Drosophila melanogaster: one gene and its partners. The gene in region 3 interacts genetically with the main gene of each other region. Each region holds a gene or a part of one and is shown on either strand. Other genes may lie near its edges.

What was found. Genes that interact genetically often act in the same process or in processes that back each other up.
Region 1: of Sulf1 (region 3) and Hs6st, changing one suppresses a phenotype caused by changing the other (phenotypic suppression), as found in Drosophila melanogaster (one study listed by BioGRID).
Region 2: of Sulf1 (region 3) and Notum, changing one enhances a phenotype caused by changing the other (phenotypic enhancement), as found in Drosophila melanogaster (one study listed by BioGRID).

Annotation. Positions count from the first base shown.
Region 1 is NT_033777.3:20,004,282-20,011,891, reverse strand, and holds the start of Hs6st (heparan sulfate 6-O-sulfotransferase), read left to right. Parts: upstream 1-3,379; 5' UTR 3,380-3,731; intron 3,732-5,232; 5' UTR 5,233-5,471; coding exon 5,472-5,657; intron 5,658-7,610. Other genes in the region: CG17190 (uncharacterized protein), read left to right, coding at 1-12; MED25 (mediator complex subunit 25), read right to left, coding at 241-2,832.
Region 2 is NT_037436.4:16,020,215-16,027,710, forward strand, and holds the start of Notum (notum), read left to right. Parts: upstream 1-3,265; 5' UTR 3,266-3,630; coding exon 3,631-3,705; intron 3,706-7,496. UniProt on the Drosophila melanogaster protein: Carboxylesterase that acts as a key negative regulator of the Wnt signaling pathway by specifically mediating depalmitoleoylation of WNT proteins. Serine palmitoleoylation of WNT proteins is required for efficient binding to frizzled receptors.
Region 3 is NT_033777.3:16,333,651-16,341,395, reverse strand, and holds the start of Sulf1 (sulfated), read left to right. Parts: upstream 1-1,820; 5' UTR 1,821-2,085; exon of another isoform or gene 2,086-2,453; intron 2,454-2,852; exon of another isoform or gene 2,853-3,551; intron 3,552-7,745. Other genes in the region: SF2 (splicing factor 2), read left to right, coding at 1-167, 450-574, 634-742.

The DNA of each region.
Region 1 (7,610 bases), 3.7 Mb from region 3:
GGAGCAAACTAGTGGACTTTCTCGGAGATTATGTTCTGTGATTAATATAAGTCTTGTGCAAATTCGGATTTCCCTTGATTCTTACTAATTAAATAAACGAAATGTTATGAAAATGGAGAAATTAATATTTCGATTTTGGGAAATAGATTTTGCCACTACCCCAAAAAAGACTTGCAGTTGGATTTTATAAAATATTTTACTGTCTTAATTCTGGTTTTTTATACGATACTCTTAAGTAGCCTACATGAACTCATAGTTTCCGTCGTCAAAGTTGCGATTGCCGACCATTGGACCGCCTGCTCCCATTTGATTGGGATTCTGGCCACCCATTTGCGGCCGGAACTGATTGCCTGGCGTGGTCTGGTGCTGCAAGAGCTGGCGCAGCCCCGGGTTGTTGTTGCTCATCATGGGACGCACCATGCGCTGCTGCTGCTGTTGCGCCTGCTGCTGCTGCATTGCGGCGACGTTTGGCGCCACTTGTTGCAACTGCTGCTGGAGGTTTGGATTGGGCACGCCACCGGGACCAACACCCACGCCAACACCTACGCCCAGTGGCATTCGCTGTTGCTGCATCATGTTCATCTGCATTTGATTCTGTTGCATGGGCATGCCGCCGGGACCGGGACCAGGTCCGCCGCCAGGACCTCCACCACCCATCTGCATATTGAGTTGGAACTGGTTGTAGTGTTGCTGCTGCGAGTTATCCTGTTGCATCTGTTGCTGCTGTTGTTGTTGTTGCTGTTGCTGCTGCAGCTCCATGGGCGACTTGCCTTGCTGCTGCATCATTTGCTGCTGTTGCTGCTGCTGTTGCATGTTGCCGTGCTGCTTTTGCTGTATGACTTTGCGCAGACGTTCCACAAACATTGCCTGATTATTGGGAATGAAGCCCAGAAAAGCGTTGCGATCGGGCGTGTAGAGTAGGATGAGAACCTTAAGGTCACAGGCTGGTGAGTTGGGGATGGAGGAGAAGTGGACGCAGCCAGCATAGCCGGAGGTCATCATCTTGGCCAGCGAATCGAGTGCCTCTCCTGGAGTGGGTCGAAAAACAACCATTTTCGAGTCCTTGAGAAACTGCCCACCAATATTGCCAACTAGGTGCTTGGGCATTAGCTGCATCAACAGCTTGGGCGGCCAGTTCTCAGCCTTGATCTCGGGCTCGCCATCTTTGATGTTGGTGCACACGGTACACTGGAGTGTATGGGGAATCTTCTGTTGATCGGACTTTGGCTTCTCTGACCACTCCAGCACTCCGGTCCATATCTTTTCCCTCAAGGAGGCCTGCTCCTGCTGCGAATTTCCCTGCTGTTGCTGCTGCGGATTGCCCTGCTGCTGCGGATTCGACTGTTGTCCTACTTGTTGTTGCTGCTGCTGCGGATTAGACATGTTGCCGGCATTGCTAGCCGGCATCATATTGTTTCCTGCATTGGGATTTACCTGCTGCTGTTGCTGTCCTTGCTGCTGCTGTTGCTGTTGCTGGGCCAGTTGCTGTTGCTGCTGCAACTGCTGGTGATTTAGCATCTGCTGCTGGCTCAGCATCTGCATCCTTTGTTGCTGCTGCTGTTGGGCCTGTTGTTGCTGCTGCTGCTGCTGCTGCGCCTGCTGCTGTTGCTGCTGCTGCAGCGAGGTCACAGTTTGGTTCGGCGGCGGCGCATTAATGCGCGATATCAGAGCAGAATTTGGATTCTGTTGCATGCCGCCGCCTTGGCCCACACCGCCCACATTGCCTGCTCCCTGCATGAAGGGCGGACGCGCCTGACCAGGCTGGTTGGGATACATCCAGCGGTTTTGGCCGGGTCCCACGTTTTGCTGGAAGTTCTGATTCTGCATTTGATTGGAAACGAATTGATTCTGCTGCTGCTGCTGCAATAGTTGCTGCTGCTGCTGTGGATTGAGTAAGCCCGCTGGGGGATTTGGACCGGGCTGCTGTTGCTGCATCGTGTTCATGTTCATGACCTGCTGCTGAGGATTGCCTTGTTGTTGCTGTTGCTGCTGCTGTTGTTGTTGCTGTTGCTGCTGCTGGGCTGGAGTGGTGTCCATGGGCATGCCCTGCCCTTGTTGTTGCTGACCAGCTTGATTTTGTTGCTGTTGTTGTTGCTGCTGCACTGTAGCCTGTGCCGCATTGGGTGCAGCCATTTGGGCCGCCATGCTGTTGGGACTAGGTGCTCTCTCCTTGAGGCTGTATCCCTTTAGAAGCACTAGGTGTCTTATGTTCTTGGCATAGTTTTTGCTCGTAATGGGCTGATCTCCGTCGGCCTTCATGAAAAGTTTGAACAACACCGGCATCTTGCGTGGCGCAATAATGGAGAGATTGATTTTGCGCTCGTTGAAGAGCGCCGCCAGCTGCTCACATGATTTGCCCGGATACTTCCACGACTCCGTTGTGGGCATCTGGTACGGCGGACTGTTGCAGATGAGAATGCAGTGCCTCTGGACGCTGGTCTGATCGAGCAACTGGCGCCTTTCGCTGATGTCATCAAAACAGCCGTGGGCCGCAGCAAATCCTTCGGCCATGTGGGCACAGGACTCCATTCCGCCTCCCACTAGTGGCAATCTTTCGATCGTCTCCATCACTTTTTGGGGCTGCAGAAAGGGACCATAGGTTGAACAAACTGGCTCCAGCAGATTGGCCGCTGTACGGTAGACCACAATACCGTACAGAGTGGCAAAGCGCTCCGCAATCAGGTATTCCCGCTCGTCGATGGAGCCAGTGGTGAAGTGCTCCAAAGTCGGCAGGATGTAGTTGGTCTTTAGTTCGTTGATGTAGGCTCCGTTGATGGCGCTGCCCTCGATGACGAAGACCACGTCGGCCAGGGGAATCTGGTCCACCTCCATTGGACGATGGGAGTTGGCTTTAAGTTGAAAAACTTGTTGCAAAAAATGTAAACTATGTTGTCTGCTTTACACCGCTCTTTTACTTTTTTCGTTTGTTTTGCATATCGCTCTGCTGCTATCGATAGTCAACTTATGGTTATCGCTCAGCGATTGCTAGGGCTGCAAAATAAATGAATATTCAAAAGTGCCCATAAAGTTGGATTTAAGAATATGCAGATTGCCTTGAAAACTTGTTTCTATTGAATTCTTTTTCTATTTTCACAAATAAAAAAACGTTTGGTGTTTATCTAATTAACTTAAAATTGAATATTGCATACAAAAGATAACTATAAATAAGATATTACGATGTTTTATGTTAGGTATCATAATTATAGTTGTTTTATGTATGTATTTTCAATGGAACTATAAAGTTAATTCTTTAAATATTCGTTACCAATAGTTTATATCGATGGTTGCAAGTGCTGCCAGACTCTCGCAGCGAGTTTCCGTTCGGCAGTCTGGCAGCGCGGTCAGCTGTTCCTATTGCCCAACTTGCGCAGTTCGTTTTGTTCAGTTCATTCGCCGATTTTGAAGAATGCGGACGTTGACGCTGGTACCGCGTCGTTTTGCCAAAATAATTCGTAAAAAATATACGCAAAACGCTTAGAAAGTGTCAATTAACTAAACATTAGCTATTGAGCAGTGCAAGTGCAGGAAAAACGATCGCAGAAATAGCCGAAAACACATGAAAGTGCGAATTGCGGGCTTTTTTGTGGCTGGCACAGAATGTGTGGCACAAAGCGGAAAGCGCGCTAATTGAGCGTGCGAGCGCCTGAAACGCAGAGAAATGTAAATAAATAAACGTGTGACGCCGCGACAATTGTGAAAAGTGCACAAACACGACGTTTGGCAAGTGAAAAGTGAGTGAAATCTAGATAAATTTCATTAAATTGCCCATTTCGCATCTGGCAAGAAGAACAGCTGTTGTTTGGCATCTCGCTCTGTCTGGTTGTCCTCTCTCTTATTTTGCCCTCTCTCTGTTTTTGTTGCTCCCCTTTGCTTCTGTTTTTTTTTACTGCAATGTTGCTAAATCGTTTGATTCTATTATTATAATTATACTCCTTGCCCTGACGTCACTGCCTCGAAAAACCTGATAATTTGGGTAGGCAATTAGCATGGTTTAAGTATAGTTTAGAGTACAGAGAAGTGAATTAAACGGCCATGTGTGCACAGCATGCATGCTTTTTTGTTATTGTTGCCTGGCAACATGTTTCGCCACATCTGCCTTTTTTTTCTTGTCTCTCTGTTAGTCCAATTTGCCAATAAGCAACTTTTCCATTTGTTTACAATAATTGTGATCGCTACAGAAGCACCGATCGTGAAGTAAAAAGCGCCTACATAAATATAAGGCACCAGTTATGCTTGGGCGTCACTCCGACTGCCGATCGCCAGTTATTTTAGTTGGGTGTTTGTACATTTAAATACCCTACCTAAATGCAACTTACTCGCATGTAGTCAATATCATTCAAACCCTAATATGTTACGCATTTTCCAATCGGGTTTATCACATATAAACAATATCGAAGCCAGATAAAGCGACTTGTGATAATAATCACCCATACAACAAAGGCTGTTCATTCATTATATTTACCATATTATTGATAACTATTTTTATAACTGAACTACAATATGTTCTTATAAATAAAGAATCACTAGATAATTTAAATATTAAATGAAATAAGTACAAACTATTTTTTAACTATAATAAGTTATTATTTGAGTAATTGCACGTATTATCATGTACGGATGTAGGTTTTTTGCTTTAAATAATAAACGTATTTAAACGTATTTTTAATTGATTAAGGGTATACTAAATGCATTGCTTTCGGCTCCGCCATTCACTTTCCACTATTGCGTCATTATTGGTTGATTTATGTATTTTATCGTTACGCTATACATTTGCAGATCGCATTCGCGCGTGGAAATTTAATTTAAGATTTCCCACACAAATAAAGATAAATTTGTTATTGCACAAACGTTTGTTATTCACGCCCGTCTTGAATACTTACTAATAGATTTGCAATTAAAATAGGGTCAGATTAAACGATAAATCAACTTCACCGCCTGCTTATCAGTTTTTGACCCTAACAAAAAAATAGAAAGTCCAATTAACTATGTATGTACGTTTTAATTGTGAACTTCTTATCAGTCTGCCATAGATTTAGGTTCTTAAAAACTATTTTTGATTTTCCCCTGAAGAGCTTTCAGCTACTAAGTAAGTGGCTAGATAAGGGCTAGACAATTTGACAGACCGCTTTATCGGCATGGTCAAGTGGTAACTAATCGGAAACGGTGTTGCTTTTGTAGTGCTCCCAAAACTAATAGGTTTCTAACCGTTTTTCACTCTTACTCCATTTGCAGGCACTGAAAGCCGAGAGACAAGGAAAACCCATTTCCGCGCCAAGTGCAATGGGCGAAGGTGTTCCCATTTTTCGAGTTCTTATCGGGCAGCGACTGAAGTATGATTGAGTTGGCCTCGCCTCCGATTCGCGTCTGGTTCTCGTTGCGCTAGGCCGATACGGATACCCGCTTGGACTCCACTCGGGTGGACCCTTGTTGGACCTTTAGTGCGATTTTCGAGGGAGGCCAGGGAATGGAACATGCCCGGGGATATGCATAAGAACGTATCTGTTCAAGTCGATAGTGATTTTGCCTTATTGCTGCCCAGTGGTGTTTATGAAATCAAGAAAATGGAACCGCGCTCCAAAATCCGAACAATCATTGTGTTTTGCCTCTTCCTGGCCATCGCCGGCATCATCGGATTTGGATACTTTTGTCAAGATCAGGTAAGTGCCAAATCCCCTCATTAATTCCCATTGCTTATAATTTATAATTTTCTGTTACTTGGCTCCAATGCAAATTAGCACACCAATTGGCGAAATGCTGAATTTATTCATTAATATTTGCCGTACATGTGTGCTTTTATTGGAATTACCATTCATACATTTTTGGATCGCACGAAACTTGTTTTGCTATGGCGCATTAATAAATTTATTATTTAAAATATTCGTATAAAAATATGCGTTGGAGTGTTTTTCCCTTCGGCGCTAAAGACAGCTTTTATAATATAGAACTCTTTCTCGATGTTTATCAATTTTTTGGGAGCTTTAATTAGACAAAACAAAATGTTTTGTTTACAGCCTTTCGGTTGGCGCCTTTAAAACTCGGAAATTGTTTACGCAAACGCAAAGGTGCTAATGAAATTCCTCCAAAAATGGAAAATGTGTAACATAATAAGATTTCGCTTGCAGGCGATTGTGCTTCTGTGTTATTATTCATAAATCTTTGACACGCGTGCCCCGTATTGAAATTAGTCTAATCTGTAGCATAAAGTTTACAAACAACTATGGATTTCTGGTTGGTATATTTGGGTCACTACTCATAATATCGCCCATAAATCTTCGGCGTGGTTGATTGAAATTTGTCTTATCTGTTGGACTAATAAGGCTTCCCCCCGCGCATCTAATGAATGATTTAATGGCCGAGGTGTAAAGTGCATTCGTGGGCCATAAAAACCGAACCGAGGCAAAACAGCACATAAAATTCTACCCTGGGGACACATAAACCCGCACCAGTCGCTATTCCTTCAATTTTTGCTGCCTCGCGGTGTTCATATACTTGCGTACTTTGGATATATTTAACTATTAATCCAGCTCGTGCCAGTCACGTCTAAAAAAAGCCACGATGAAATTGTTTGAAGAAGGTCATCAATTGCCAATTGCAGGCGAAACAAAAATTTAATATATGTACATACATAAATACATACGCCTCGATGAGTTCTATCATATGTGTGGCTGTTGAAAAATGTTTCAATTTCGTTCTGGCGGTCTTTAATTAAACAAGAAACAAATTCGTTGATGCTCCAAGAACCGAAAAAGAAGTCAAGTGGGCGTGACTTTTAGCAAGAGTTCAATGTCAAATGGCTGTGTTTATGATACAGATATATGTATATAAATGTTTATTCTATATATTTTCGTGCTTTTCGCTTTTTGCTATCGGCGGGTCTGTCTGCAGTGAGCATTAAACTATTTTCCAAATTGAAATAGCTAGCCAAAATGACATTAATTGAGCGCAGCTGCCTCGCCCTCTGGTTTTCCCTGTTTTCCGCACGCGATCTGGCCAGACATAGTGACGAGCAGGGCGTGGCCACGCCCCCTGCCGATGCGTACGTTGGAAAATTCGCCGTCTTTAAAAATAGCTTAATTAGTTGTACGCGCCATAAACGAAAAATATGCTTAGTGCTTGTATTAGTGTGGCGAAAGGCAAACATGAAAATTGGGCTCATGAGGTTGCGTGTCCAATGGAAAACAGACAGATTATTCTATTATTTGGGATGCGAGGGCGGCCCATTTCGGTGATTCTTTCAGATTTGTAACCTTAATGGGCCAAGTTGAATATAAATTACTCGGTCGCAATGGGAGTACTTTGTTCCCGGAATACTTTAACTCTTGCTACTTGGCCTGATAAATTACAAGCTATTTTTAATTGTCCTTCTTTGCTGAACTTAAGTAGCAGTAACAGTCCTCTTTCAGATCATTAAGCCAGTAATGTTACATTACTTGCGAGGAAAAAATGATTTAATAATATGACAGGCAGATAATAAAAAATATAAATTGCTACTGTTCGATAAACTGAATCGCATTTAATTTGGTATTGAAAGGAAAACAGAATTGATTGCTTTGGCGGGTTTGTTTTCAAACAGCTCCGTTTTTTCGGTATATACAATAGGTGCATTTTAC
Region 2 (7,496 bases), on a different chromosome or scaffold from region 3:
AGCAAATAATTTTCCAGTTTTTACTTATCTACTCTTCTCTTCTCTTACTTCTACTTTCTACTCTTAAACCATATTTATTTGTTAATGAATAAAATGTTTACTTTAATTGAAAGTATAGAAATTATTCAAATTATATAACATTATTTGCATAGGTCACAAATACCTCAAATATAACTTTTTAAGAATTTTAGAATATGTTTTAGTGGTTTTTCTTTATTTAAATAAATTTTCAGTAAAATCCTTTAAAATTTCCATAAAGCACCTGGTGACCATGCAACATCACTGACCTCCGTCAATCGAGAGCAATGCAATTATGAACCCCGGCTGGAAGAAATTAAAGATGCTCGCTCCGCCGGCTGATGGATGAGAAATGCTGCTGCCGACTGGAGATTGGATGCTGGATTCTGGATGCTGGAGCCTCGGCGCACCTGTTGCGTTTCCCACAGCGAGCGGACGCTTTGGTTTTTCGCAAAATAAAGATGAAAAAACACCGGAGAACAGTTGTGCAGCGGATCCTGAAATCGGGCAAAAGGATCAAAGGACGTGACCGTGACTGGGCCGAACCGATAATAAAGTTGTGCATTAAATGAAATTTTAATTGCTTATCGGCGACCGGCGATCCGGGAGCCCATCTGTTGGGATTAGAGCGGCCGAATGGCCGACTCGATTGATGTCAAGCGATCGGTCGGTCGGCGCTTTGAAGATTATGCCCAAAGTTATGAGGTTGCGGTAGAGGCTCTGTATTCCAGGTGCTCCGTTCTCCAGGTGATCGGATCGGCCTATGCGAAATTATATAGCTCAGCAGCGTTGGTAGCGATGTAGCAGCTTTAACTACGCAGTGCCTGTCGCTTCCTCGCCGTCCTCTTTCTCGTCATCGTCATCGTCATCATCCTCATCATCATCATCATCATCATCATCATCATCACCGTCATCATCTTCCGCTGGGGCATCGCATCAGCTGGCGCTGCTGCTTGTTGCTTGCTGCTTGCTATTTGCTGCATGCGGCAGAAGATGAAACGCGGCGGCACAACTTTGATGCGGCCAAGATCAAAGCCGCCGATTGTTTACATAATAGTGGCCTTTGAAACGGAACAATAGAATGCCAGGATCAAAGACACCGACCAGTTTACCCGGTTAGTGCGCTTAAGCGAAATGAATGTCCATGTCCGTCCGCCCGTGATCTGTTTTTCCTGGCCCCACACCGCAAGAAAATGTATGCTTTTTGGGATCAATAAAAACCATTTGAGTATGCTTTATCAAATCAACAAATACTAACTATCTAGTTTTTCAGTGAGTACTTGTTTTTAACCAAGTCAGCTAAAATGTTTAGTTAATTCATTTTGGACAAAGGTTTTGTTGCAGTGTAGTAAAAGTAGCACACCTTGCTGGGGTTGGAAACATCACCGCTTTGCGTGCTGCGGTAAAGTAAAGTTTTTAGGTGAACAACGAAAATAATACAAATTGTTTTTGACACTTATCAGAATATGTATATAAACTTTGTGACTTTCGTTTATAAGAAACCATTATATTGTATTCCATAATAAGTAATTACATTAATTTATTTTTTATATTTTATATGTTTTCTTATACTGTTTTATGAATTTGATTGGAGGTCAATCTAAAGTATCATTTAGAATAAAAAGGCACCTTTCGAATCTAAAAATAGCTGGTAATAAACAAATCATTAAAATTTGAATGCTAAACTTTAATAAAACAATATATTAACATTAAAATATTTTGATTATGCCACAATATTTTACGGTGCAGTAAAAGTAGCACTCATCACAGCCAGATGATCATCCCGATGGCAAAATCGTCATGGAGTGTCTTTGAATTTGTGCTGCTGTAATTGCTGCTGTTGCTGTTGCAGCAGCCGAAGGAGTTGCAACTGCAACTGCAACTGCTGCTGCTGCTGCTGATTGCGCGTCAAATGTTTATGGCATTCATCGCGTGCTGGCGGCGTTTTAATTGCTGGAACGGCACAAGCGCCAAGTCGATGGTAGATGGTAGATGGCCACGCTGCGTATGAGCAATGCGAGCATCAATAATCTCCTGAGATGCTGCCGCCGCCGTTGTCGCATAATAATTGCGTGTACTTAATGCATAAATATTGCACTGAATCGGACTGGTCGACCGGGCCGGCTCCTTTCTATTTCCCACTTTTATGTTTGCCGCCGCCGTCGCCGCCAGTTGGACATCATTTTTTCAGGCGCTGTTTTGTTTTTCTCATTTTTCCATTTCTTTTTTTTTTTTTTGTTTTTGCTCTGCTTGCCTTCTTCCTTTAGGCCTACAATTTCTATTGAAGCAGCGCTTCGGCGGCGGCGAACAGCTAAAATCAATTTGGTCAGTGATAAAATTTTTCGCAAAAGCGAATCAATTTTATGCTTGTGACGGGGTGTCGTTGAGGCGGGGGTAAATCGTAAAAAGTATTTCGATTTCGGGGCCAAATACGGCAAAAATCAAAAGACCCAAAAAAAGAGAAGAATTTTTAATGATCTCTTATTAATTGAGTTTGCTTTATAGAAGAAGAAGAGTGTGGCAAGGGTCTGCTGCGGGAACGGGGAATTCGCCTTTAGATTTACAATTAGATAAAAGTCGCTGGCTACTTTATTGAGATTTTATGTCTTTAAGCCGCATCCAAGCTGCCGAATGTCCAGGGCCATATCAAAATTGCTCCGTTTCCACGAAATGCCGACAGCCATAAAACACCAAATGACCCAGCCAAAAAAAAAAAAATAATATAAAAAATAAAGGGAAAACAATAAAAGCATATATATGCGATGAGCGAATTATGAGAGTTTGCATTATAATTGCAATTACACTAAATTAGCATTAACCGAGCAAAACGAAAAAAAAAGGCGCAGTCAAAAAACAAAAGACTTAGGCAACGAACTCGAGCGAGAAGACCAGAAGCGCGTTGCGTTTCATTTCGGCATTCGATTAAGCAGATCAAAGGGAACCTTAATACGCTTATTAACAAGTAGCTGCTGCTGTTGCTGCCACTGCCACCGCCTCAGTTGGCGTCGCAGTTGCAGCGCTGCCCGCGATTCTCTCAAATTGCATTGCCCTGCAGTTTATTATTAGTTTTGTTATTATTTTGCGTATTCTAAACAAAAACGCAGTACCGCTGCGAAGCGAGAAGGCGAGAGCACGTGAGAGAGAGAGAGAGCAACGACGTCGACCGCAGCAGCGAAGGCGACAGCAGCAGCGGCGGTAGCAGAGCAGCAACAGCAACTTCGGCACTTCCACAGCGCAAGGTAAAAATTTCATTCCGTGGCGAGCATTCGACGTGAGCGGACGTTTTGAGCGCGTGTGCCGTGCCGCAGATAACGAAACATCGCAGTGCTATCACCAGAATTGAAAACAGAATCGCATCAAATACATTATACTTCACAGTTGAATGACGAGAAATCAGAAAAAAATATTCCCCCGCCCTTCTAAAGAAATCAAAATCACAAGTTTATAAGTGCCAAAACAAAAATCAATACCGATCGCATACAATGCAGCGCCCCAAAAAGTGCTCAAAACTGTGCTGAACAAATATTATACAAAAAAATAATAAATAAGCAAAACAAACAACAGAAAATCTATATTTAATCTATTCTATATCTATGTGTAATCGAATCGAAAATGGCAGTCGAACAAATTGATAAAATGGCAGCTAAAGCCGGAGAAGCTACAAATAAATGGATTAAGCCACAGCAGGTGAGTTATCAAAAGCGAACGCCGCAATACGGTAGCCCCACAAATGAAATATGAAGCTGCTGCGAAATATTATCAAAAAATAAATAAATAAAAATGAATATAATCGAAAGAGGGAAAGGGGATATCAAAAGTTGCCGCTTAAGCTGAAACCCCAAAAAATACAGTAGCACGTCAATTAAAATTAATAGCTTCCGACTTATGCCGCTGGCCAGGTTGTGAGAACTCGGTTGAGAAAACACCAAAAACTGAAAACCCTCTACAGCTTTATTTACGACATTTGCATAGTCGGGTCGAAATCAATTTGAAAATCCTTTGCAAGGGCATAAAAAACGAGATTAAATTTGCCTGCGTGCGCAAAAAGCCACAGAAAAGGCGGAAAACAAAAACAGCAAAGAAAAATAAGTTGCAGATTGGTGATGTGAAGGGGGGGGGGGGTGTAAGGGGGGAGGGTTCCGATGCGGATGAGAAGAAAACAAAAAGGCCGACAGAAATGAGCGGGGAATGGGTCTTTAAGTGTAGCTAACCAAAAACCCTCATCAGCAGCAGCAACAACAAAGTGCAGGCCGCCTTCGTGCGCCCCACTTCGCTTCAAGCTCGAGATCCACACATCCCCGGATCCCCACATCCCCATAGCCATGCCACAGCCACATCTACTCCACTCCTCGGCCGTAGTAGCTACTGTTTTCAAAGTTAAGATCAATGAGTGCGACGACGATGCCTTGGGTTTTTGTAGTTGGCCCGAAGTGCACGGCAAACAATTTTATTGGTTATTTAAAACTAGAGTGAATATCTTGCTGATCATTTCCTCAAGCTTTGTAAGTTAAGATGAAAATGACTGATTATATAAATGTTCAAAACAGACTGCTAAACGTTTTAGATAAAATCAGCCAGCTGAATATATCTAAATGCTGTGTTAATTGATTATAGTTACGTTGACTATTGGCTAGTACAACTGCTAATCGAACATTGATTTTGTTTCTATTCAGTTCGTTTACATTTGATCCTTTATTAACTGACCGCTCTTCAACGGAAACTATGAAAATCATATTACTGTTTAAGATCCCCAAAAAAATTTCTCTCGGTGCCCTGCTGGCCAGCTTCGATCTGCTTTGCAACATGCCGCAAACATACACGAGTCCATGGGCGGCAAAGTACAAAGCCGAAAACGGCACGGGTTTAGCGCGCTCGGAGTAAAAAGCGATCAGCGGGCAGCAGCGGTAAAGGCGACCGCTTGGCAGACGTGCGCACATCCACAGATACAGATACTCAGATACAGATACAAATACAGATGCAGATACTCAGATCAGGCCGGTCTAATAACGCTGCTGTTGGCACTGGCTACACGTTTCGGCGGCTTCGCTTTTGTTGTTGCCGCTCCACTACCGCTTCATACCCATACCCATACCCATATACCCCTTCGGATTCCCATTCCCATTCCCATTCCCGCTTGCCTGCGGCTTCATTTGAGGCTGCTTCCGAATTACCTGCGCCTTTGCCATGCCAGCAATGCAGTAGCAACGGCAGCGGCAACAACAGCAGCCACTGCGTTATTTCCCTGCCATAAAAAGTATTAAATTGCCGCAAACAGGTGTATTTTTATGCCCGCCAGGCAGAGGAAAACAACTGAAACCATAAGGGGCGGAGCGTTCAGCGTTTCGGGAACTGCAATTATGAGCGCCTAGGCCCGTGGCTTTACGTATTCTAAGCATTGCATTACAAAAAAAAAACAAAAGAAAAACGCAATTCAGGTCACAACCGCTGAACAAATCAATCATTTACAGCTGCCCAGGATTAGGCAGGTAAAAGTGGGAAAGTTAGCAAATTACCATGGAAAATTAGCGCGCAAAGTTGTGCAGTGCGAAAAACCATAAAGATGACTAAGGTCCAGCTAAAAAAGTTGAATCTTAATTTTATTTTAATTTTAAAATATTAATTTAAGCGAAACAGTACAAAATATTTGTTTTTTTTTAAAACATATTTTACTGACAATATTATATTATATAATCATTGTTGTTTGGTAAATTTGAAAAGGGTCCTTTATGACAAAGACTACCTTGAAATCGGTTTAATAAATATTGCTATTGTTCTCTGTGTTCCCAATACGATCGCTTACATTTCGGCGATATTTTTTTAAAACTTTTTTATTTTATTTATTAAGAGCGCGCTCTCTTTCGTAACGATTCTGGTTACGCGCGCAAACTGAAGGCAATTGAAAGCCGGCAAACAACAGAGAGACCGGGACAGAGACAGCGATATGGGTGGAGTGAAAGAGATGGGGAAACGCAAATCAAACAAACTGGCAGCAGGAACCACAACAACAACAATAATAACAATAACAAGAACAAGAACAACAAGTGCCATGAGAACGGCAACGGAAGTTTATTTATGCCCCAGACCGCTGTTTGTTTAAGCGTATTGCGATAAGCTGCGAGTGACTGAAAAAGCGCTCGTCCGTTTGTAGTTGTTGTTATAGCGTATGGTATTGTTGTTGTTGCTGCTGCAAGTGCGCCAAGAATAACAACAACAATAGCAGCGAAGTGGAGCTGCCCCTACTTTTCCGATCACAGCGACGACGGCCTCCCTTTGATTTGGACAAGGTCGTTATGGATTGTGCTTAGATAATTCAAGGTACAGGCAAGCCTCGCTAAGTCAAACAACTAGCAGAAATTGTGAAAAAAACAATTTATTTTTTGTATGTATGTTAGAATTTTTTTAAACAATTTTTCTTTATAAATATAACTAATTTTAAGGCATATTGTTTTAAAATTAGGATCTTAGCTTTGTTATATTTGTATATAAAAGATTGTAATAGTCGGGTATAATCAATGGACAAATTACAATTGAAATATCAGAATAATTGGCATAAGCCATTGCAAATATGCCCTTAATCTATTTTAGATCAAATCAACTTTCACGAATTGGCATAACTCGCAATCCCTAAGCTAATGCAAATGGCAATTCGATTAAAAACACTTAAAAGGGGCGCACATTCGCAGTCAATTGCCACCGCAATCGAATCAAATCAATTCCAGTCACAACGGGGCGTATACTCGATTTTGTTTAATAAATGAAAAAAAGTGGAAATGAAAAGAAATATAAACTGTGCATATAAAGAACGCTTAGCGCCATCGCGTCGCAAACGCGACCGAGTATTTGCAGCAATTAATAAAAACTGACAATATAATCGGTGCGACAAGTAGTTGGCTGCCAGCCAGCCCCCAGACATTCGATTCGAATCGAATCGCATGGAATCGCTCCTTTGTCAGCTTCGCCAGTCGGCGAGGAACGGAGGGAGGGGGGGTGTGAGTTAAAAAAAAAGGTGGAAAAAAGAAGAAAATAAGGCAAAATATTAATAAGCAGTGCCCGCAATTAATAGCGCAACTTAAGACTCTATATAGGGTAATTAAGCGGCGCTTGTGAACATTTTTCCTTTGGCCACGCCGCCTCTGTTTTTGTTTTCTGTTCGTCGGCGCTGCCGTTTTCTTTCGTTTTTTTATTATTATTTACCTCTCCCCCCCCCACGACAGGTAAACAACAAGTGCAACGTACGCTCACCCGTATCTCTAGGTGTATCTGTATCTGTATCTGTTTCTTTGCCGGTGTTTACTCAAACGTAAATCCGCGCACGCACACGTGAAATCTTTTTGTTTGTATTTATTTTACTTGTTTTTTTGTTTTATTTTTTTTTGGTTGGTTGGTGGTTCATTGTGGCCGCAGTTGGCGCAGTTGAACTAATCAACAATGGAAACTACTCATCTGGTGCTGAGGAGCGAGCTCTTGTCAATTTCGTT
Region 3 (7,745 bases):
CCGCCTCCGGATCGTGGCAAGATCTCAAGGATCACATGCGCGAGGCCGGCGACGTCTGCTTCGCGGACACTTACAAGGATGGTTCCGGCGTCGTTGAGTTCCTGCGCCACGAGGACATGAAGTACGCAATCAAAAAATTGGACGACTCTCGCTTCCGATCGCATGAGGTATGTAAATTGTCCAGTTCCAACTTTGTAAAATTCAAATGTATTCGGGTTTCAAGGTAGAGAATTTACTTTTGCATTTATTTTGTCAGCATACATTATTCACAGGCTGGAATAATTAAATATGATTTCAGGAATAACATTAAGTTATATTGGTGTAGATGCTTACACTTACGCCCTTAAATGTGTCAATTTGATAAACATCTAGTTCACATTCCTGTTTACATTTTGAAAAATAGTTTGGCGACATTATTCAAATGATATTAATATTTTTATTGTCTTTAGGGCGAGGTTGCCTACATTCGCGTACGCGAGGATAGCGGTGATAACGACAGAGGCGGTGGTGGTGGCGGCAGCGGTGGAGGTGGTGGCGGCAGCGGCGGAGGTGGAAGCCGTGACTACCGCGACAGGTAAACCAAATATTACCACAGTTCATTTTTCAATATTTATTCTATGAATCCCTCCACAGATCCCGTTCGCGCTCATTCTCGTCGAGGCCGCGCCGTCGTGGCACTCCCACATACTCCCCAGTGCGACGTCAATCTTATTCCAGGTCTCGCTCACGTTCTAACTATTAAACACAACCAAGCATTATCCATTAATCTATAATATTTTAATGAGCAGGAAACAGGAAAAGCAAGCTATATTAGGAAATACCAATCAATATTTGTTCAAGACCCCTCAAATACCCCAATTGTAAATTGATTTGTAAAATGAAATCAACGACCAATCAAGTTTGTTCAGTCAAGTTCCGAACTCTCACCGAAGCCAACATACTTAAAAAAGAAAAACACTTGCTTTTCCAACTTATCACACGTTCTAAGAAGCAGAAATGTTCTCTTAAGTTATAATCCACCGGGCAAAATTTGACAAAAACAGTTCTAAAATGACAACTGTAAACCAAGGAATTCTCTTTGGCCAAAAGCACTCGGCATTCCTTGATTTGCTTTTGATTATCTTTTGAGCCTTTGCTCAGTCTGCTTCCTACATATTATATTATAACTCTTATTTTGGCTGCACGTTTTCCAAGCTAATTTATTAGAATCTACCTTAACGAAAACAAGAAACATCGATACAGAATAAATATGTTTGTAATGAGATAAAGAAAAGAAACAGAAATCCGAACACAACGCAATGTCAACCACATTGATAAGCAAACTATTAATACTTTAATTTTTATTTTCTTCTCTTCCCCATTTTGCGCGTTTATGTTTGGAGAGTGATGAGGATGTGGAGGATGAGGATTAATGGATGTGGAGGAGGATATTTTGATGTTGATTTTGGCGTGGATTGGATAAATTTGGATTGAATTTAGTGGAGGCAGGACCTGTCTATAGATCTTATAAATATGAAAATATTTATTTGATTGTAATCAGGATTGGATTTGGATTTAGGATTGTTCTGAGCCCTTCGCTAGGACAACGTGGGATGCAGTGTCCCATGGCTAACTCGCACCTCGGAGGAGGAGGAGACAGGAATTTCGCATTGTTGAAGGATTTTATGTGTGAACTTTGGTCGTGTTCAGGTTAACGGATGTTTGGAGGAGGAGAATGTCGATGGCATCGTTGACGGTGAGGAACACTTGCGTTGCCCTTGGACAGGACTAAATCATACAGTTTCGGACTCGGCCGCATCTCTTCGAGCCTCGCCCCTTCTTCGGCATCTGCCTAACGGTCGGGATTAGGATTCGCTTGGACAGGCTCACACGCTTTGTTGTCGCCTTCTTTGGATCGCACTTCAGAAACTAGCTCACCCAGGGAACCGCGTATTTCGTGGCCTTCGCGCCCCTGTCGTTGTCATTTCACGGATTTGCTGTGCATCATCCAACGTTGACTTGCGCCCAACGCTGGATAGTGGATAGTGGTTCTTGGTCTGGTCCGATCCGATGCGTTCCGGTCTCCCTCTGTCTCGCCTCTCTGTGGTATGTTAGATTGCCACATCAAATTTAACTTTTAATTTGCGTTATTTAGTTTATAATTTATATACTCTTTACCCAAATCTTTCGTCTCCATTGATATTGTTGCCTCTGAAATGTGGCGATTGTCGCGTGTGCGTTTTGTTTTTCATTTTTTTTGAATAGAAGGGCGAAAATTCATAGGCCCCGACTATAGCCCACACCCGCATCATTTGCATGAACTTTCGTTAACCTAATAAAAAGTAATACCACAGCAATTTTGGAACAGAACAGTTCTCTCGTTCTCCTTGCTTATCGATCAACATATAAGCCATAGTTCTAACATATTTTTGAAATGAAATACACATTTACAATAAATATTCATAAAAATTAAGAAAAATGTCATGCTTTTAATACAACATTATAAGATGGGTGCAATCAAATACTTTTAGCAATTTATCTTGCTGAGATTATGAGCTTAAAATTAGACTGCTAGACTCGTGTAGCAGGTATTTGTGTTTATGGGATGTTCCTGTACTTATGAAGATTACAAATTAAGTTTGCTTGTATTATCTGCAGGAAAGACTTCTGTTCTGGATTTCACAACCTTTGCATTCCGAATCAATTTTAAACTTCCCGCTTATGGATTTTTACAGAGGACTGTTATTAGGGCAATGATGACCGTATTGTTTTAACGCAAAATACCAGATTTCTCTGTGCGAAAAACGATTTTTGGTCACTTTGCAGCACGGCCACACTGGCAAACAAACTATATAAGCAACACGCGCATTTTGTTGTTGGGTTTTTCAAAAAATATTCACCAGCTGTTCGGACGCGCGTGGGAACTGCTCTGTGTTTGTTGTTTTTTATAATTTCGAACGGAACGAACTGGTCGCATACGGATTTTAATTTATATTTACGTACTAAGCTAACGCGCGCTGTAAAATAAAAGTAGCGTAGAATTTCTAAACCAACCATCTGACACGAGAAAAGTGCGCCAAAAGTTCGGAAAACCCGTAGAAACCCTGTTGAAAGTACGAATTGCATGTCAAAATTGCTAACCCACGTAATAATGAATAACAAATAATTCGGAAAGTGCAATTTCGTGGGCAGTCTTTCGACAGCTGAAGGAGAAGATATCGGCCCAGATAGCCGGCCCTTCGTTTATGAATTGTGTTTTGTGGCGGTGTATCCAGCTTATCTCCGCCTTGTTCGGCTCCAGTTTTATTGAACTCTACCGGATCGGACGGTACTACCCATCTGGGGATAGTCAGTGGGACTGAGGAAGCTATTAATCGATCGCGATTGTACAACCAATTACCGGGTTTATCACCTAATTCGAAGCCGCTCGGCACGACGCGAACTATAAATAGAAGCTGAAGTGTCCAAATAATCGGTAGACAGCGCTCATGATCACAATCGCAATAGTGTGTTAAAACTACAACTACTGGAAGTTTAAACAGATATATATATATATTTAGATATAGCCTGAGGTAAGAAGTGCATTTTATGGATGTTTTGCATGCCCACGGAACTGCTGAGATCATTAAAGTTGGCTATTGAAAGCGCAGCATCAGCGAATTCCCCCTAGGAGTCATTGTTCTCGCTTGAAACTTAAAAGGTTTTTTTATTGATCATAACTTGAAATTAGTTTTACGGGGGGAAGATCGACTGATCCAAGCAAATCATGCGATACTAGTCGTTTGTGGTCCTCATCAGGCATCCCAACTTGTTTGGTCTTTGTTCTACCGACTGTTCAACAGCACTTCCTCAATATTCCTGAGTGAAAGTAAGGCTTGGCTTCGATCGTTTGACATTGGTAATGTGACCCACTTAGGAGTAGGGTGCTTCTTTGGTAACTCGATCTGTCAAGCCAGAGGTGTTGCCTTGTGGCTACCTACTACCTAACTAACTGCTTGCAATACAACCTGCGTAGGGTCTTCAAGGTCTCCTCCCCGTCGGTTTCCTGTTCATCTAAGCAACCACTGTGAGAAAACTTGAGCTGTCTGTAGGAACACCTAGCATCAATATACAATTATGTGTGTAAAATAAGCATCCATATTCAGCAGCAATTTTTAGAATCCAGTTTAATTGTATTATGAGTATACATTGTATCTAGGGTTCCATACATTTCTTGCTAGTTATTTGTAGCAGTGCATATGTGTGCAGGCAGCTCGTTTGAATCCCTTGTGCGTCTCTAATCGGAGACCTGCCCATATGACCGGGCTCTGCTCTTTGTCCTCCCCGGCGTGTTAATCTTTTGTTGTGATGAGATGCTTATCACACCTACCGCCGCCTTGCGACAGGTGCATTCTGAAGTTTCCGCTGGAGCGAACCGCAACTGGAAACTGGCAACTGGCAACTGGCAGCCGTGGAAATGGGAAACCCTTTTCGCTCGACCATTCAAGTGCCGCTGTTCGTTTGACCGAATGATTGACGGGCGGCAACTGTGACCCCTTAACCCCTTGTTGCCGGCACTCAATGGGCCGCATCGCGTAAGCAATTTATGTTAATTGTTGTTTGCCTGTTGTGCCTTGCCTTTTGGACCGGGTCCATTCACTAATCGCTTGGAGGAAATTTAATTTAATGCGTATAACGAAACCACCCTTAAAATTTACCGATTGCTGACTAATTGTGGGAATTTTTAAATAATACCAGATACCCAATAGCAAGACAACTTTTTGCCTTAACTGGCAATTCGAAGTAAAACAAAAGATTTGTTTGCTAGATGATATGATTAAGTCGCAACATCAACAGATAAGATAATTTTTTGTTTATATAGAAGAAATAATATCTCTGCAATTCTGCAAAAAATGGTGTCCCATAGTTTCAGGGAATTCATTTCGAAAGCTTGAAAAATGCGCTACAAGCTTAAAAAATTTAAATTTAATAGTATGTCTTAAGGGTATTTCAGTTTCGTACAGATTTGTTTGCATTGAAGTACCTTGTATTTTCCAAAGCCAGTCTGGACAAGCATTTAATTAGACACTTTTTACTTTTCCCAGCATAAGACACCAACTTTTATCCGCCGCGGCAACAAGTTGAAGACACGAGTCTGGCCCGTCTGTCTAATTGTTTTGACTGTGGCAATTTCTCCTGGTCTTTTTAGAGTTGCAGTCCGAGCTGGAGTGTGGCGGCCAGGAACTGGTTTGCCCGCTCCACGCAATCCCAGAGCTTTAATTCGGTCAATTCAGCGGGAGCGGCATAAGGCGGCTAAGGCTCATGATGATGATGATGACGATGACTAACGCTGGCCCCAAGGCACCGACCAGGCAACGAGAACGATCCAATTTGGCCTTTTACCGCAATCAGGTTTGGGATTCGGTTTTAGTTTTCGGTTTTGGTCCGCTCGATACGATACGTCAACGGGCCGACCGAATGGATGAATGAATGAATGCCCAGCTGAATGAGCGATTGGTGGCTGAATTATTCAGCTGGCCGGCAATCCATCATGCTGTCCTCGGAACTGGTTGACCAACACCACTTAATGAGTGGAAAAGGCGTCTCCGACATTTCCCATTTGCATCCCCATTCCCCGACGATTCATGCGATTCCCCATCCCCATCCCCACGCAGAGTCATTAGCCAGCCGCAAACTATGCCTATATGGGCTGATACCCCGTCAAACATGGCTCGCATTAAATACAGCCATAAAATCGGCCGGGAGGCGTGTACCATGGGGCACGCGTTTGGGGCGCCGTTTAATTGCGGTGCGCGATTTGCAAGCGTTTTTAAACGCCTCAATTTGCATTTGCATACTCACTGTCTTCGCTCTATGAATGGAAAATTGAACGCCCAATGGAGCAGTTGGTTATGCATGTCACTATAATAGTGAGGCAAGTGCAAATTAACACATGCACTGGGGCATCAATTTCAATTATTCTTTGTCCCTCTGAAAACTGATAAGGACAATGGGTGACGAGCTCGCACTATCTTGGGTTAATTGAGTAGTGAATTAAGTTTTATTGAAAAGTTTTAGAAACTATTAGAGATAGGAAGCTGGACGGACGCAGGTCGGCGGTGGGACATTCAAATAGGGCATGCTTAATATTAGTTTTTTCGGCTAGACCATATGTCTAAGAAATTAAATCCTATGTACTTCTTAAATCGTATATTTTTCATCAAAATAACTAAATTCAAAGCCATAGCATAGTAAATTGTATTTATTTTTAGCTTTGCTCTGCTAGACGCACCATTAACTTATCGTGCACCATCGGTTTGTAGTCCTATTTTACGACTTAGCCGCATGTCTGGCCGCAAGGCGCGTTTAAAAACGCCAGTGAAAAGCCAGCAAATCGCGTCAAACATTAAAAACATTACCCTGAACCGAGAGGGTTGGCCCTGGTAATTGTAAGCGGCTATTAAAATAATTTAACGCGCCTCCGTTTGCTGGCTAAAGGCCGCAAGGACGGGGCAGTAAGCATTACCCAGCCAGCCCGAAGGGATTAACATAATTTTTGCTAATATTGTGAGCGTGGCTCGCAGCACATAATGCGCTTAGAAATATGAAATGAATAAAGACTGCATTAACCTGAATGGTGGCAACGGCAGCAGGAGCAGCTTCAGCAGCTGCAGGAAGGATTGCGGCCACGGATTGTGGAGTGGTGCACGCAGGCTGAGCTGAGCCCAAAACTTAAGGGTGACGAGGAGGTAGGCGGCGGAAAAAGGAGCATGATCCATGATGAGCTGTGCGGCAGGAATGCGCCAAAAGGCAGCGACGCCGACTGCATTAAAGTGGAAAATCCTGTCTGACAACATTTAAACCGAAAAGAAATATATATGTACACAAACCTATAGTAAATATGTGCAAAATAAAGCCAACAACAAAAAACCACAAACAACACATAATAAGCGTGAAAAAAGGCAAAATGAGAGCAAAACCAACCCAGTGCAATTCCCAGACTTGGTTCCACTCCGGGCCAGAAAGGATAAAGTGGGCAATGAATAGGCAGTGTGGCTAGAAGAGCAAACCACCAACAAACAAAGGAAAGAAAACAAAACGAGAAAATTGTCTTCAACTGCTAGACGGAATGAAATGATACCCTAGAAAAAGTAAACAATTTAAAATTTTTTATCGTTTTCAAGATAGAAAATCCACCGCAAAAGATCACATTCACACATAGTGAACATTCTGAAATAGTAGTGATGCAGATCAATATTTACACTGTCTATCATTGTTGTAGTTTCAAAACAAACGTAAAACCAAATACTTTTTAAACATGTATCCAAAGTAACAATAATAATGCCGTTGTCATGCTTTATCTATACTCAAAGAATTTAGATTAGCCTACAATTCATAAATGTTCAAAGAGAACTGAAACATCATGCGATTATGATTAACCAATTGCTGAAAATATTTCGGACACCTGATCCACAGGCCCACTCAGCTCTAAAAGCATTCCGATTTGCACATTTTCGCGATTTCGTTTCCAAAGAAGGACGGCGCTAAGAACCGCATTTATAACATCAATAAAAGTTCGTGTTTGTTTACGTGGAAAACAAATTAATAATGGAAAATCACATGTGGTTTTTCACAAACCAAACACAAAAATCGAATAACTCACCCACTCGCACATGTACATATACGAAGAAAAGCAATTAAAATCGCGAAAAAAAACAATAAATTTGTGCGATTTTGGTTTGGCAAATCGCCCTTCGCCCAAAAATCTAAATATGAAGTTAAAAATG